2 linked regions of the Saccharomyces cerevisiae S288C genome follow. The gene in region 1 interacts genetically with each later gene. Each region holds a gene or a part of one and is shown on either strand. Other genes may lie near its edges.

Evidence for each region. A genetic interaction does not mean that the proteins touch.
Region 2: mutations in VBA3 (region 1) and MCA1 together harm fitness more than expected from each alone (negative genetic interaction), as found in Saccharomyces cerevisiae (2 studies listed by BioGRID).

What each region holds. Positions count from the first base shown.
Region 1 is NC_001135.5:1,541-11,768, reverse strand, and holds VBA3 (basic amino acid transporter), read right to left. Parts: upstream 2,064-10,228; coding exon 687-2,063; downstream 1-686. Other genes in the region: YCL068C (uncharacterized protein), read left to right, coding at 1-266; GEX1 (glutathione exchanger), read left to right, coding at 3,443-5,290. UniProt on the Saccharomyces cerevisiae protein: Transporter required for vacuolar uptake of histidine and lysine.
Region 2 is NC_001147.6:714,682-721,065, reverse strand, and holds MCA1 (Ca(2+)-dependent cysteine protease MCA1), read right to left. Parts: upstream 3,981-6,384; coding exon 2,682-3,980; downstream 1-2,681. Other genes in the region: MRM1 (Mrm1p), read left to right, coding at 1-596; BFR1 (Bfr1p), read left to right, coding at 1,001-2,413; LIP5 (lipoate synthase), read left to right, coding at 4,229-5,473; SLK19 (Slk19p), read right to left, coding at 5,735-6,384. UniProt on the Saccharomyces cerevisiae protein: Cysteine protease that cleaves specifically after arginine or lysine residues. Mediates cell death (apoptosis) triggered by oxygen stress, salt stress or chronological aging.

The DNA of each region.
Region 1 (10,228 bases):
TCGTAATGGGACAGGACGATTTACTTTTTAGTATGGATGATGTTCTACAAGAGGTCTTCAGAATACAGCTCTATTTGAATAAGATGCTGCCGCACAACTCTCACAAATGGCAAAAGCCATCCCCCTTTGACTCCGCAAACTTACTACTTAACTTCAGAGACTGGACAACTGACAATGCTCTCCTCCAAGAGTTGCTACTATCCTATCCCACAATTAATAAAAACAAACACAAAAATCACTCCGTCCCTCGTCTAATACAAGTTTGAATGACGATTTTTCTGAAATCTTTGTTTACATTTCATTCTATGTGCGCTAGATATAAAAATCTTATTGTGAAAGGTGTTTGAATCAATTTGAAAAAATGTAGGTTGAATTTGGTTAGATTTGGCCCCCGAAATCGATAATAATGGCCAAATACTAAGTACATTAATTAGTTAATTGTTCTTTCATTAATAATTTGAATTCCAAATAAGTCCGTGCCGAAAACTTTAATGTTTTAAAAAAACATAAAAAAATCAAAAACCCATTCATAAGATACTGTGTTGATCCATATATTAATAGGTTTTAAGTACATATAGAATACTTAAGAAATTACATTCCATTGCGATACACCTATTTGATTCTGATTGTGTTGAAGTCTGTATAAAAGGCGAAAAAAATAAAATGAAAATAAGAAAATAACTGCGCTACTTGTCTTCTAAATTATCTTCTGGTGTCTCGTCCTTTTTTGGTATGATTAATTTCTTATTGGATGAAAAACTACAAAACAAAAATCCTAAGGCATAAAACCCTAGATCCATCCAAAATACGTTCTTAATGGAGTCGCTTAAAATGTTTCCAATAGTCGAATGAGAACCGTCGTAGTTTTGAAGACGATACAAAATCATGTCATCAACCGTTTTTCCTTCGTAAGGCTCTAGATGAGCTCGTGATACTTTGTTGTGAAAGGAGGCGGAAAAAACAGTGGTTGAAAGCACACCACCAAGAGTTGTACCTAATGACTTCATGAATGTATTGAAAGCTGTTACTTCAATAAAGTCCATAGCAGCTTCTGGACGATCTTTGGTAATTTGAAGCTGTGCACTCATGAGCGATGCTTGTAGAGCAAATCCAAGGGAAAACCCCGGTAATAGCAAAACACCAATTTGAGTTGACTTCGTGGACGTATTTGTCATAAGTGTCATAAGCCCTGCTCCAATTACCCCAAGAACGCCTCCAAATATTAAGAGTGGTTTAACTAAACCGAGCTTTTTGGTAATCACACCACTTGCAATGGCCGCAATAACGTTGGTAATAACGATTGGTATCAAGTGAAGACCGGCTTTCCATGCACTCGACGCAAATATAAGTTGGAAAAACTGGACAGAGTATATCATTTGCCCATTGTAACCGGTACATAATAGAAATGTTACCATGTTTATTATTATTATGGCTGGTTTTGCTACCAATCTTCTTAGAAGGAGAGGCCTGTAGGATATATTATCAGGTTCCGGGTTGAATTTATCGAATAAGAAGAAATCGTACACCAATGAAAAAATAAAAAGTAAGACACCCAAAACCAAATATGCGATGACTTGGCCAGAGTTCCAACTATATTTATTACCACCAAAGGTTAGCCCCAGTAGGAAAAGGACCAGCCCTGCAGAGCAGAGGGCAAAACCAAAGAAGTCAAACTTGAAGATTATGCCATTCATAAGTCTTTTAAAATTAACTTGGTGTCTGAACTTACTAAAAGTAAAGCTCGAGATTGTTCCTATAGCATCTTTAATTTGTTGAAGTATACCCTTATTCTCGGCCTTATATGTGAGTAAAAACATAATAATGGCAAGACCACCGATAGGAAGATTGATATAGAAGCACCACCTCCAGGTAACATGGGTTGTAAAGGCACCTCCGATTATAGGACCAACGATAGCAGCTACAGCAAATGCACAACTTAGGATGGAAATCACCAATGGACGTGACCTTTCACCAACCATCGTACAACCAATAACAAAGCAAAGCGTTTGAAGTCCGCTTCCCCCAACACTAGCAACAACTCTACCGACAATGAGCATATTCATTGAAGAGGCAAGGGCAGCAATTAGGGATCCGGCTTCAAAAATAAGTATTGCTAAAATGAGACTATGCTGGAAACCTATGATAGATGCGAATCTTCCCCAAATGAGACTCAGAATAGCATTTGGTAAACTGTAGCCTGTAACGAGCCAACCTGTTTTGGAGTAGTTTCCGAACTGTTCTGCGACCACGTCAATAATAGTTCCCACTATCAAAATATCCAGTGCAGTTATGAATAGTACAAGAGTTCACGAAGCCAGGCAGAGGTACAAGGAAAGTCCCATTGGAGAATCATTGCTACCTCTAGCATTCAATGAAGCGTCTGAACCACATGCTTCTTCTATCTCCTGCTGCGAAGAGTACTTAGTTTCCTCCATATTTTTGAATTTCTATCGATTAAGCTCTATACCAGGTATGATCTGGTCTGATCAGTTCTAGGTATAAGCATAACTAGAATACATCTATACATGTGTATATCTATATCTATATATATGTATATATATATATTTAAACCAAAAAAAAAAAAAAATTCGCTTCTCATAAAGGTGTGATGACACTATTATCTTTTGCATATCTTGTCGTCTCGTATCATGTACGCGCTGCATATGAGGTGCGGCGCTATCTGTTAAATATGTACCAATTTGCACCTGCTGCAAAGGAAATGTGGCACTACTTTTACTCGCATGTTAACTTTCACCTACTATATATAGAAAAAAGGGTGTTGTTTTCAATCGCTGACTAATTTGCTCAAATACTCTTTACAAAAAGGAAATTGTGTATCAGTAACCCTTACGGTTTGTTTATGAAGGAACTTTGCTCGTCCTACACCACCGGATCTAGGTACTCAATTTTTTGATGATTTTGCACTTGTGCGCATATCCTGTCGACAGGCACCGCATTTTTTTCCTTGTTTCAACAGACATAAACACAAGCTTCACTCATCAGTTTGAAAAGAGATAGTTTCGACGGTACAGTATTCTTGTCGTACAAAAGTCTTCGGTATAACTGGTTCGTCGTGGATTTTCGGAAACTAAGTTGATTGTACGACGACAGGTCAAAGTTAAAGTTAAAGTCACCAGGTGTATAGACACCACATTGAAGGGGTGTCACAGCAATTTTTTTTTTTTTTTTTTTTGATACTCAATAATTACGAGCATATAATTTTAGTACTTCCAAAAAAAAAGTTAAACAAAAAATAGTGACGAAAGGTGTCAGTAAAAGTATATATGAGAACATGGAATGTATTAAAGTAATTCCATTTCTAGCAGATGTAGCGACCGTAGAATCTTAAATACTATTTACATAAATAAGAAAAGTAAAATAGTTTTATGGACTGGAAAGAGAAAAAAAAAAAAAAGGAATAATCAAGTAAATAAATTATCGGATGAGTTCTAGTGTTGTTGGTGCCTCAAGTAATAAAAAAAGTGGAATTAGGCAGTCCTGTGAGATTATTGAGCGAGAACGTCACTCAAACGATGACACGTACTCTATGACATCGACCTTTTTTAAGCTCAAAGAAAACGAAATTATGTCTGCACAGTTTGATTCCTTGAAATATAAAATTCTACTGATAAGTACCGCGTTTGTATGTGGGTTTGGAATTAGTTTAGACTACACACTTAGATCGACCTATACGGGCTATGCGACGAACTCATATTCAGAACACTCCTTACTTTCAACTGTCCAAGTTATCAATGCTGTTGTAAGTGTCGGATCCCAAGTTGTCTACTCCAGACTCTCTGACCACTTCGGAAGACTAAGGCTTTTTTTAGTTGCAACTATTTTTTATATAATGGGAACCATCATTCAATCACAGGCGACCCGTCTCACAATGTATGCAGCAGGATCGGTTTTCTATAACTGTGGATACGTCGGAACAAATCTGCTCCTGACATTAATACTTTCTGATTTCTCCTCCTTGAAGTGGAGAATGTTTTACCAGTACGCCTCATATTGGCCATATATCATAATACCATGGATTTCAGGTAATATTATCACAGCAGCAAATCCTCAGAAAAACTGGTCCTGGAATATTGCAATGTGGGCTTTTATTTACCCACTCTCTGCCTTGCCAATTATATTTCTTATTCTTTATATGAAGTACAAATCTTCAAAGACTGCTGAGTGGAGATCTCTCAAAGAACAGGCTAGAAAGGAAAGAACGGGCGGATTATTTGAGAATTTGGTGTTTCTATTCTGGAAACTCGATATTGTTGGCATATTATTAATAACTGTGTCGCTAGGGTGTATCCTTGTCCCTTTGACGTTGGCTAATGAGACATCACAGAAGTGGCACAATTCAAAAATAATTGCCACTTTAGTTTCAGGTGGCTGTTTATTTTTCATTTTTTTATATTGGGAGGCCAAATTTGCCAAATCTCCTCTTCTACCGTTCAAATTACTAAGTGATCGTGGAATTTGGGCACCCCTTGGTGTTACTTTTTTCAATTTTTTCACCTTTTTCATTTCGTGTGACTATCTGTATCCTGTTTTGCTGGTATCGATGAAAGAATCGTCCACTTCGGCTGCTCGGATAGTAAACCTTCCTGACTTTGTTGCTGCTACTGCATCTCCATTCTACAGTTTGTTGGTGGCAAAGACAAGGAAACTGAAACTTTCTGTAATCGGAGGTTGTGCTGCATGGATGGTGTGCATGGGCCTTTTTTACAAATACAGAGGAGGATCTGGGTCTCATGAAGGTGTTATCGCTGCATCTGTTATCATGGGTTTGAGTGGTCTCCTATGCAGCAATTCAGTGATCGTCATACTGCAAGCCATGACTACGCATAGTAGGATGGCTGTAATAACCGGCATCCAGTATACCTTTTCAAAGCTAGGCGCTGCTATCGGTGCCTCCGTTTCTGGTGCCATATGGACACAAACCATGCCTAACCAACTCTACAAGAACCTTGGAAACGATACATTGGCAGAAATAGCATATGCATCACCTTATACATTCATTAGTGATTATCCTTGGGGCTCACCCGAAAGAGATGCTGTGGTTGAATCTTACAGATATGTTCAACGAATAATAATGACGGTTGGCTTGGCATGTACGGTACCGTTCTTTGCGTTTACAATGTTCATGAGAGACCCGGAACTAATAGACAAGGCGACACACGAAGAATTCACTGAAGATGGTTTGGTTGTCTTGCCAGATGAGGAAAATATTTTCTCTCAAATCAAGGCACTTTTTAGACATAATCGAAGTAACAAGAAATTAGGATGTTGATCCCCAAGCTGGTGAAAAAAGGGCAAAAAAAAATGAAAGCAAAATCACAAAAAAGGCAAAAACAAGTGATTTCTACACTTTTATTACTTCCGATAAAAATGACATAACAGGATAGGATAAACATGCTCGATAGACCCACATCTGAACTTGCGACGCATATAGCTGTGTCGTACTTTTTATTTTCACAAGCGTCGGTAAAGACTCAGCGTCGGTAAAGACTCAGCGTCGGTAAAGACTCAGCGTCGGTAAAGACTCAGCGTCAGTAAAAGAGTCAGCGTCATTGATATTGAAAGTGCGGGAGGAGTTACTATCCAATAAATGATGCTGGAAATGCGCTCTGTATGAATGCATTAATTATGTTGTACCGAAAAAGAAAGAAAGAAAGAAAAAAAAGGAGAATCATGTAACTTCTAGTAAGGGCGTCATGTCATAGCACTTTTCTAAGTGTATGCCATTGTAAATCATTCTAGGCGAAAAAAAGTGATATGTCTCCTGGTATTTTGTATTGTTGTCGTTACAAGTTGATGTGTTCCGTAGTGTGAGTGCAACATGCGATTTTGGTACCGCAAAAAAGGTACAGATCACATGGGCACAGATACAACAATTCTTTATGCCTGTATTGAGATCATAGTTTTCTTGGAGTCGGCAACAGTCTACGGGTGAACCCAATAATCCAGCAGTAAATCTACTAACCGAACATTGTGTCGGAATTTACACATTACTGATATAATTCGTCCCATTAAACTTGCGAGTGATTTCCAAAACAAGTACTACATTGAGCGTGTTCAGCGTGCCCAAAAAAAATGGACTTGAAAATCTTGTTGAATTAACTGTATATCCTTTAAGTTAACTGCCACAATGATAGCTACTCCGCGATATATTGATGTTACTAACCTTTTGAGATTCTTCACCAATGTTGCAGCGTGATTTAATTTTGATGAAATCATTTTTGTTGAAATAGTAGGATCCTGTATAGGCTGAAATATACTGATCTTCGATATACCGCTCATTTTACATGGTACAGCCATGTATTTTGGGGATATCAAATATCATACCCGATTGAGCTGGACAGATGTCGACTATGGCTCCTTACTAACAGAGTATGGTTGTGAAGCTAATACAGATAATGTCTCACTCGTGCAGTCACATCTCCATTGAAAGCTGTGGAGTTTTTCCAGACACCAGTAGCAGCGCCAATGGCAGCACTACAGCGAAAATTGAACTCATAGCACATCCCTGAATCGTGGACAGTTAATGTATGTTGTTGTGACTCAGACGATAACGATAAGCCTCAAAAAGTTGTGTCCTCTCATCATCCTCGAGCACCAGTATATCATAAGCAAAGAATCTTCGATAATGATTTGGAAAAAAAGCGAAAGCGAAGCCAATGTGTTTTATTACTGCTGCATTACTGAAGAGATATAAGAAGCGCTAACTCAATTACAAGAGCACATAACGGAATTAATCCTGCGAAACAGAACAGTAATTGACACCCTTATAGTAGCCTTTTTTAACAGTTAATTATGGAAAACTGAGTTTGAAATTCAATGTTAACGCAAGTTTCTGTTATTTTTGCGAATCTATACGGTCTCAACGAGACGATATGCTCTAAGATTCTACTTCTCTGCGGATGATTCTTTCGGTTATCGATGCCCTTTACCAAGGCCTCTCATACCATAGTATCAGAAGAGCAATGCATATTCATTCATAGATATAATGTGATATGGAGAGCAATAGGAAACATAAATCTAGGGGAGAAAAATGTGTTCAATATAAGAATATTAAAAAAATATTAAAATGAAAATTGAAAAAGGCCTCTTTGATACACACAAATAATGCCATCTCTTCCAGGAAAAGATAAGTAAGATAAACTGGCTATGTTATGTTGTCTGTTTATATGTTAATACAAGGAATTAAGATCTATCTTATATGCCTTAGTGTAGCGCAAGTGTCGGACATTTCTATATAAAATAAGTATAAGACACGTAAAATTACTACTTCTCTGTGTGTATATACCTATGTTACGGTATTGCATGCGAGATGGGGCTAAACGAGGCCGTAGGGACATATAGCACCTTAGAAACAACCTTGTATGAAATCTTTCATTATTTCCTGTTTCGGCACTTGAGTCAAGGTATTTTTTTTATCGTGGGATATGTTGACGTAGTGAATTACGATCTAACTTATATGTCATAATATAGTAAGTTTATTGGACCTTTCTACATGTTATGTAAATGTAAGAATTACATAGTTAGTGTTTTGTACACAGAAAGTATAGTTTCTTAAGTACTACCTGATTACAGGTTTACTATTATATGTTTTCTTTGTCTAAAACATTACTGAAACAACTCTGAAACAATACTAAAGCATTACTCATATCATGCTATTAGGTTACCACATTTAACATCCCCCCATAACTGAATACGCATGAGTATGGTTATTTTGTAGTTTCTGGTTCCCTTATCATGACAGCCCTATGTGTTTTAAATGATTCAGCTGGAAGGATTTTTGTAAATATGTCAGCAACTTGTTTCTTTGTGATAACATGTTCTATGGTAATTATGCCTGCTGCCACTGCATTTCTTAGCTTGTGGTATCTCAAAGCAATGTGTTTTGCTCTCGTGTGAAATACAGGATGTTTAGACAGTTTTATAGCAGGTTTATTATCTACATATGATGTTGATGAGATAAGTGGCTGGCCTAAGTGTTCAAACAAGTTTTGAATCCATTATATCTCCATGACAGTTTCACTTGCAGTAATGTATTCTGCCTCAGTAGATGGTACAGGAATCACACCCTTGAGCTTCTTCGATGACCACGTAACGGGAGCACCAGCAAGTAGAGTCACGTACCCCCCAGTAGAGTGTGGTAGATCGTGAATAGCTCCATGAGATGCATCACAATATACAGTTAATGCCAACTGAGATCCAGAACGATACTTGAGACACATACTTCTGGTGGTATATAGGTACCGTAGAACCCGCCGAGCAGACTCCAAATGGATTGCGCGAGGTTCTCGAAGGAACCTGGAGAGTAATGAGACTGGATACGATATGTCCGGACGACCAGTATTTGCACAAAAGAGAAGCTGACCAACTATGCTCTGATAAGGAGTGATGTCTTTTAGATGCGGGGAAGTTGTTTCGAAAAGAGGCTTTGAGTTGCAGAGCGGAGTCTGTGTAAGTTTAAATGTGTTTATTTCGCTTTCAGATGCAGCTTTAGCAATATAGTCTTGAAGGGAGAGAGTGATGTCTCCGTTTGACGATTGATGAATGTTAAGACCGAGGAATTTGTCAACTTTACCGAGATCCTTCATTGAGTATAATTTCGTTAATTCTTGCTTAACCCTGTCATATATTTTAGGAGAGGGAGCAGCAACAAGTAAGTCGTCTACGTATACGGCAATGTAGATGGGACCATCAGATGTGGAACGAAAATATAAGCCATGTTCGCCTTCATGTCGACAGAAACCAATCTTTTTAAGAGTATTGTTGATATGTTCGTTCCATAGTAATGGGGCTTGTTTGAGTCCATACATACCGCCGTATAGTTCCCATACATAGTCGGGATTCCTCTCGTTAACAAACCCGGGTGGTTGTTTTACGTAGATCGGCTCATCCATGGTTGAGTTTAGAAACGCAGTGTCAACGTCCATCTGATATACTATTAGTTTGAGGCAGCTAGCAAGGGCCAGAAATAATCTAACAGAGTCATATCGAATGACTGGTGCAAAGGTTTCCTGATAGTCAATACCAGCCTTTTGAGTATGTCCTTGGGCGACAAGGCGAGCTTTGTACTTCCCAGAGTCTTTTATTGTGAATACCCAGCTGTAGAAACCACATCATCAGGTGATTGCACAGTGACACCCTCTTTTGTGAACGTAACAGAAGAGTTTGATTTAGTGCATAGTTTTCAAACGGATATCAGGTTAACTGGTAAATCAGGAACGTAAGATACGTCATGTAATTGAACAGTGCCAATGTTTACAGTTCCGGAGCCCATGATGGGTATGGAACCGCCAACTCCTCTGACAAAGTCTTTCCTAGAGGATCTAGTAAATGATGAAAAAATGGAACGGTCGTGGCACATGTGGGAAGTACATCCTGTGTCAAAAATCCATTCTGAGGATTTGGTAGCTGGAACAGTCGAAGATAACATACAGAGCCAGGACTTCGGTGTTATCTGTCCTGCTGTTTGGCCTTGCGTTTCATAGTCAGGAATCGCGACACTAGCAGATGAAGATCTACTCGTTTTGTCATTAGGATATAATTTAAAGATTCGTGCTTCTGGTATTCTTCGTTTAAGCAGAGAACAGTTGCTTATGCGATGATCAGCTCCGTAAATTATATACATCCCTTATTTCCTTTCTTTTGATAGTTTCTTCTGTCTTGTGCAACCAATGCATCTGAGACCGAAGATGATGAATTCGATGACGCATTTAATTTACAGAATCTAATGACTTGTGATAGCTGAAGAGCCTTAGAGTCACCGAATTTCTCGTGGAATGATTCTTTTAACTCGGGTAAGAAGGTCATTAATAACAACGCGATATTGGTGTCGCGTCTTTTTTTTTTGTCCTGTTCTTCGCTATTGTCTTCAAGCATCGTGAATAGAGTTTTCAAAAAGGAAGCAATTTCATCTACAGGCTTGGAGGATATATTTGGTAGGTCCTCTATAAGAGTAAGCCTGGATCCAATAGTGACTTCATTATAGTTTTCTTCGAAGTGCGAGAAAATATCATAAGCAGAGACCCTTCCAAGCGAATCATCACATATCCAGTTCATTTCACATGCAGCTTCACCCACGATAGTTTTCTTGTAGAGCTTTACCAGGAAACTGTTAAATACGGTTTTGACAAAGCTTTCATCATTCGCGCTGAGATTGTAATCCCTTTTCATTGATTGGATATCTCCGGTATGAACGAATTCGTTCATATAT
Region 2 (6,384 bases), on another chromosome or scaffold:
TTCACGAGCTGGGCTTCAATAACGAAAATATACCTCATGAACTGCCTTATGGTACGAAAACAGACGCTAAGAAGTTTCCTCTCGGGTTATATCTGGATGAAATAACTGACCCTCACAATATCGGTGCCATTATTAGAAGCGCTTACTTCCTGGGGGTTGACTTCATTGTGATGTCGAGAAGAAACTGCTCTCCTTTGACGCCTGTGGTGTCCAAGACAAGCAGTGGGGCCCTCGAACTTCTGCCCATATTTTACGTTGATAAACCGTTAGAGTTTTTTACTAAATCACAAGAAATGGGTGGCTGGACGTTTATTACAAGCCACTTAGCTAATGCCACGTCAGAAAAATACACTGTTGGAAAAACTATTAGCATGCACGATTTGAACGGATTATGTAACGAGCTGCCTGTTGTTCTAGTGGTGGGGAACGAAAGCCAGGGCGTAAGAACGAATTTGAAGATGAGGAGTGACTTCTTCGTCGAAATTCCCTTTGGTGGCATTGAGAAAGGCAATCGGGCCCCAGAACCCATTGTTGACTCACTAAACGTAAGCGTGGCTACTGCATTGTTAATAGATAATATTCTAACTTGTAAATAACCGTCATATAAAGTAGCACAAACATACATAATAAGCCTATATACATTATACATGTGTAATGGTGGTGGTACGCGAAAAATTGCTTACCCGCACTGTGGCGGTGAAAAAAAATAACTGATCTCGACGACGTTGAACACGTAATTCGCATTTTATCTCGAACATTTATAAGCCAAATTGAGTTTCGAAAATTGCTTGGTTGCGTTATACATAGCATTAAAGTACGACGGAGTCTATTTTCTATTTTAGGTTCATCCTTTTTTTTTTTTTCATTTTGCCCCTCCATCTCCATTTTTCACTCATTCTGGTCATTTCTTCGTTCAGTTTCATTCACATTTTTGAACTGATTTCACCTTTCCTCCTTTTATCAACGTAATAGCATATTTTCTAACAACACAGCCATTGCCATGTCCTCCCAACAACACAAGTTCAAGCGCCCAGATGTCTCCGTTAGAGACAAGAAATTGGACACTCTTAACGTTCAATTGAAAAAAATCGACACTGAAATCGGTTTAATTAGAAAGCAAATCGATCAACACCAGGTCAACGATACCACCCAACAAGAACGTAAGAAGTTACAGGATAAGAACAAGGAGATCATCAAGATCCAAGCTGACTTGAAAACCCGTAGAAGCAACATTCACGACTCTATTAAGCAATTGGATGCTCAAATCAAGAGAAAAAACAACCAAATTGAGGAGAAGTTAGGCAAAAAGGCCAAGTTCTCGTCCACTGCAGAAGCCAAGCAAAGAATCAATGAGATTGAAGAGTCTATTGCCTCTGGTGACCTTTCTTTGGTTCAAGAAAAACTACTAGTCAAAGAAATGCAATCTTTGAACAAATTGATTAAGGACTTAGTTAACATCGAGCCAATCAGAAAGTCTGTTGATGCTGACAAGGCTAAAATCAATCAATTGAAGGAAGAATTGAACGGATTGAATCCAAAGGATGTCTCCAACCAATTCGAAGAGAACCAGCAAAAATTGAACGATATCCATTCAAAAACTCAAGGTGTTTACGACAAAAGACAAACTTTATTCAACAAACGTGCTGCCTTGTACAAGAAGCGTGACGAATTATACAGTCAAATCAGACAGATCAGAGCTGACTTTGACAACGAATTCAAATCATTCAGAGCCAAATTGGACAAAGAACGTTTGAAACGTGAAGAAGAACAAAGATTATCCAAACTTTTGGAACAGAAAGATGTTGATATGGGTAAATTGCAAGAAAAGTTGACTCATGCCAAGATTCCAGCCTTCACTTATGAAATCGGTGCCATTGAGAATTCTTTGCTTGTCCTGGACCCAACTTATGTGAAACCAAAGAAAAACATCCTGCCTGACTTGAGTAGCAATGCTTTGGAGACCAAGCCTGCCAGAAAAGTTGTTGCTGATGATTTGGTTTTGGTCACTCCAAAGAAGGATGATTTTGTCAATGTTGCTCCATCTAAATCTAAGAAATACAAGAAGAAGAACCAACAGAAGAACACTGAAAATGAGCAACCTGCTTCTATTTTCAACAAAGTCGATGGCAAGTTTACTTTAGAACCAACACTAATTGCTACTTTGGCCGAATTAGACGTAACTGTCCCAATCAACAGTGATGATGTCAAGATCACCGTTGAGCAATTGAAGAAGAAGCATGAAGAGCTTTTGTCGAAACAAGAAGAGCAAACAAAACAAAACATTGAATCTGTCGAAAAGGAAATTGAGAAATTAAATTTGGACTACTCTAACAAAGAGCAACAAGTAAAAAAGGAATTGGAAGAAAAAAGATTGAAAGAACAGGAAGAGTCTGAAAAAGATAAAGAAAATTAAACCTGAAGTAGAAAAAAATTTTTCTCCTGATCTTTCTTCATTACTTAATTTTTCTTTGGTTGAGGTGATGTTTTTTTCTGTACTTAGTATTCACTACGTTAAAAAAACACATGGTCTTATTTTCCAAAATGCCTATTCCCTATATATCTTTGCCTATATGTATATAGTATTAATAGCTTAGATTGTTTCTGCTTTCTAAAAAAATAAAAATTGAATCACATACTACACCAGTCTGAATACATCTACCAACGTACACATTCATATATTTCTACATAATAAATTGCAGATTTACGTCAATAGGGTGTGACGATGATAATTGTGGTTTTTGAGAATACTTACCAGCCAATTCTTTCCTCATGTTCTGTAAAAGAGATAAATATGATTGCTGTGGTTGTAAAGTCATAACCTTGATGAAGGCGTGGGACATTGCACCTGTATTTTGCCCATCTTCGACAGCATCTGCAGAAGTTTGATTATCCTTCGAACCTGATAACATAACAACATCTGCTGCTGAGAATTTGATCTGTCTCACGCGTTCTCTATCCACATTATTGCCCATACCTCCCTTAACGGTCTTGAATATAGAACCTAAAGAACCAATCAAAGCAGCCCTGTTTCCTGTGGCATATGAAATAGCTGCTTGCAGGCCATCTTGGCCAACATCCTTCCAAATATTGGGCTCCTTAATAATACCCTTAGTAGAATAGGTATATGGAAGATCCAACACTGTACCCGAATGACAAGAGTCAAACAATGCTGTTAGTCTAACACCTTGTTGTAAGGGCTTCACCATTATATCGTGCATTTCATCGTCGATAATTGGCCCTTGAGTTTCGAAATCGACCGGATATATAACATCATCCATCCCATCTTCTTCGTCCCCATCCAAATCTTCAGTTTGGCCACCATGTCCAGAATAATGAAGGAACAAAGAATCATTGGGTTGCGCATCCTTGACCAACCATTGCATGGCCCTAATCATATTAGCCCTAGTGGGAACCCTGACCAAATCGTTCTGATCATCAGTTAATATGACAATGTCATCTGAACTGTAACCGTACCCATTAGTCAAAAAGTTGAAGATGTTATGAGCATCATTGATACAACCACGCAGTTGATTTTTTGAACCTATGTAGTTTATACCGATAATCAAAGCCTTTCTACGCCCAGTACATTGAGAATACTGATAAGGTTGGTCTGTACCTTGAATAGTTTGTGTTTGAGGTGGAGGTAATGACATATTCTGGGGTGGACCGTACATATTGGATGCGTTTACATTAGGATTGTTGTAGCCGTTGCTTAATTGTGCCTTTGCCTGTTCCTGCTGGAATTGAGGGGGGGGATACACAGGCCTGTTATAAGCCATAGGGGGAGGACCTGGTGGTGGAGCATATTGCTGACTGAATTGCTGATCATTTTGTTGCCCATATTGCTGTCCATACTGCTGTTCATATTGCTGACCATATTGCTGTCCATACTGCTGGTTAGGTGGAGGAGCCATGGGCCGTTGGTAGCCATTATTACCACCAGCGTTGTTGTAGGTGTAACGTCCACTACCTGGATACATGATTGTAAATCTAGTCGGTCTTCTTTGGTGGTAGTTTAGATAAACTTCGAGGCTCATCTTCATATTTTTGGCTCCTATTAATGCGAAGCCATGCTTTTTCAATAGTTGTTATTACCCGGACGCTTTTCTCGAAGCAGTTATTTGAAAAGCACTTGTAGTAATCAAATATATGTATATGACTCGATGGGCATTAAGTATCCAGTTTTGTCAGTTATGTGGATTTTAAGGAGAACTGTTAAGCCACAATAATGTATAGACGATCTGTTGGAGTACTATTTGTTGGGAGAAATACAAGATGGATTTCGTCCACTATTAGGTGTGGAACGAGCGCAACTCGGCCAATAAGATCCAATGCATTGAATACTGATTCAGATAACGCTAGCGTTAGGGTACCAGTTGGAAATTCAACTGAGGTTGAAAATGCAACCAGTCAGTTAACAGGGACTTCGGGAAAAAGACGCAAGGGGAACAGAAAAAGAATTACAGAGTTCAAAGATGCTCTTAATTTGGGTCCATCTTTTGCAGATTTTGTTTCAGGTAAAGCTTCGAAAATGATCTTGGACCCTCTGGAGAAGGCAAGGCAAAATACAGAGGAAGCTAAAAAACTACCTCGTTGGCTTAAGGTTCCTATTCCTAAGGGTACCAATTACCATAAATTGAAAGGCGACGTAAAAGAATTAGGCCTGAGTACTGTTTGTGAGGAGGCAAGATGTCCCAATATTGGTGAATGTTGGGGAGGCAAAGATAAATCTAAGGCAACGGCAACAATTATGCTGCTTGGTGATACTTGCACTCGTGGATGTAGGTTTTGTTCTGTGAAGACCAATAGAACGCCTAGTAAGCCGGACCCAATGGAGCCCGAAAATACTGCCGAAGCTATCAAAAGATGGGGGTTGGGTTATGTTGTTTTAACTACCGTTGATAGGGACGATTTAGTCGATGGTGGTGCTAATCACCTGGCCGAGACGGTTCGCAAAATCAAACAGAAGGCACCAAATACTCTTGTAGAGACTCTTTCTGGTGATTTCAGAGGTGATTTGAAGATGGTGGACATTATGGCACAATGTGGGCTTGATGTTTACGCACATAATTTGGAAACAGTTGAATCACTAACACCACATGTCAGAGACAGAAGAGCTACTTATAGACAGTCTTTGAGTGTTTTAGAAAGGGCAAAAGCTACGGTTCCGTCACTGATTACTAAAACATCAATAATGCTGGGTCTAGGAGAAACTGATGAGCAAATTACTCAAACTTTGAAGGATTTGCGCAATATTCAATGTGATGTTGTTACATTTGGTCAATATATGAGGCCAACCAAGAGACATATGAAAGTCGTAGAATATGTGAAACCCGAAAAGTTTGACTACTGGAAAGAGAGAGCTTTAGAGATGGGATTCTTGTATTGTGCATCTGGACCCCTAGTAAGATCGTCATATAAGGCTGGTGAAGCATTTATTGAGAACGTTTTGAAGAAAAGAAACATGAAATAATGCACACTGAAATCTAATAGTTGGAAGAAAACAATTATGGCATGGACCGCAATGTCTTTGCTTGCTGGATTATTTATTTATATCTTGTATTTTATTTATTTTTATGGTTAGTATGTTTTTGCATATTTATTTTTAACACAGAAAAGTTAGGAAACAATATCAAATATTCGATACGAATTTGTATATTTACGGTATATCCTTAATATTTTATTCTCATGACATATTAAGGGAAAAGATAAAATGCAAAAGAAAAAAATGCGTTTATTTTTTTTCATTTTCTAACAACTTGAGTAACTCCTGCTTTTCTTCTCTTTCTGAAGACAGCTGCTTGTTCAATTGCTCGATTTCTTCTGACAGAGTTTTATTTTCTAAATTTAATTGATCAAACTTATTTTGGTACTTGTTTTCATAGCCTTTTTTCAACAGTTTGACCTTTTGTTCGTGTTTGGATGAATACTGGATATACAAATCTTCTGCTAATAACTTTAGCCTTTTATTTGTATCTTTTTCTTTGGCCTCATACTTTTCTTTCCAATCTTGTACTTGTTTTCCTAATGATTTAATTTTTTCATCATCTCTATCCTTTTGATCATTGCTTAAAGTAACGCTATTATTGTTATTATTATTTTGTTCCATTAATACTTCATTTTCTTTTGTTAATGTTGTTATCCTGTCGGATGAAATCTTCAATTCATTTTGAAGAGAAATAAGGTTTTCATGAAGATTTTCCAATTCTTTGATGTGCTCAGCCTGAATGTTACTATTTTTTAGTTGTAAGCTTTCTAATTCTAGCGAAGTTTTTTCGAATTTTTGTTTCTCCAGTTCACACTCATTTTCTAGTTTATGAACTTTGTTTTCTAGTTCCGTAATTGTTTCTTCCAAATGCAATTTTGATTCCTTTAGATCTTCAA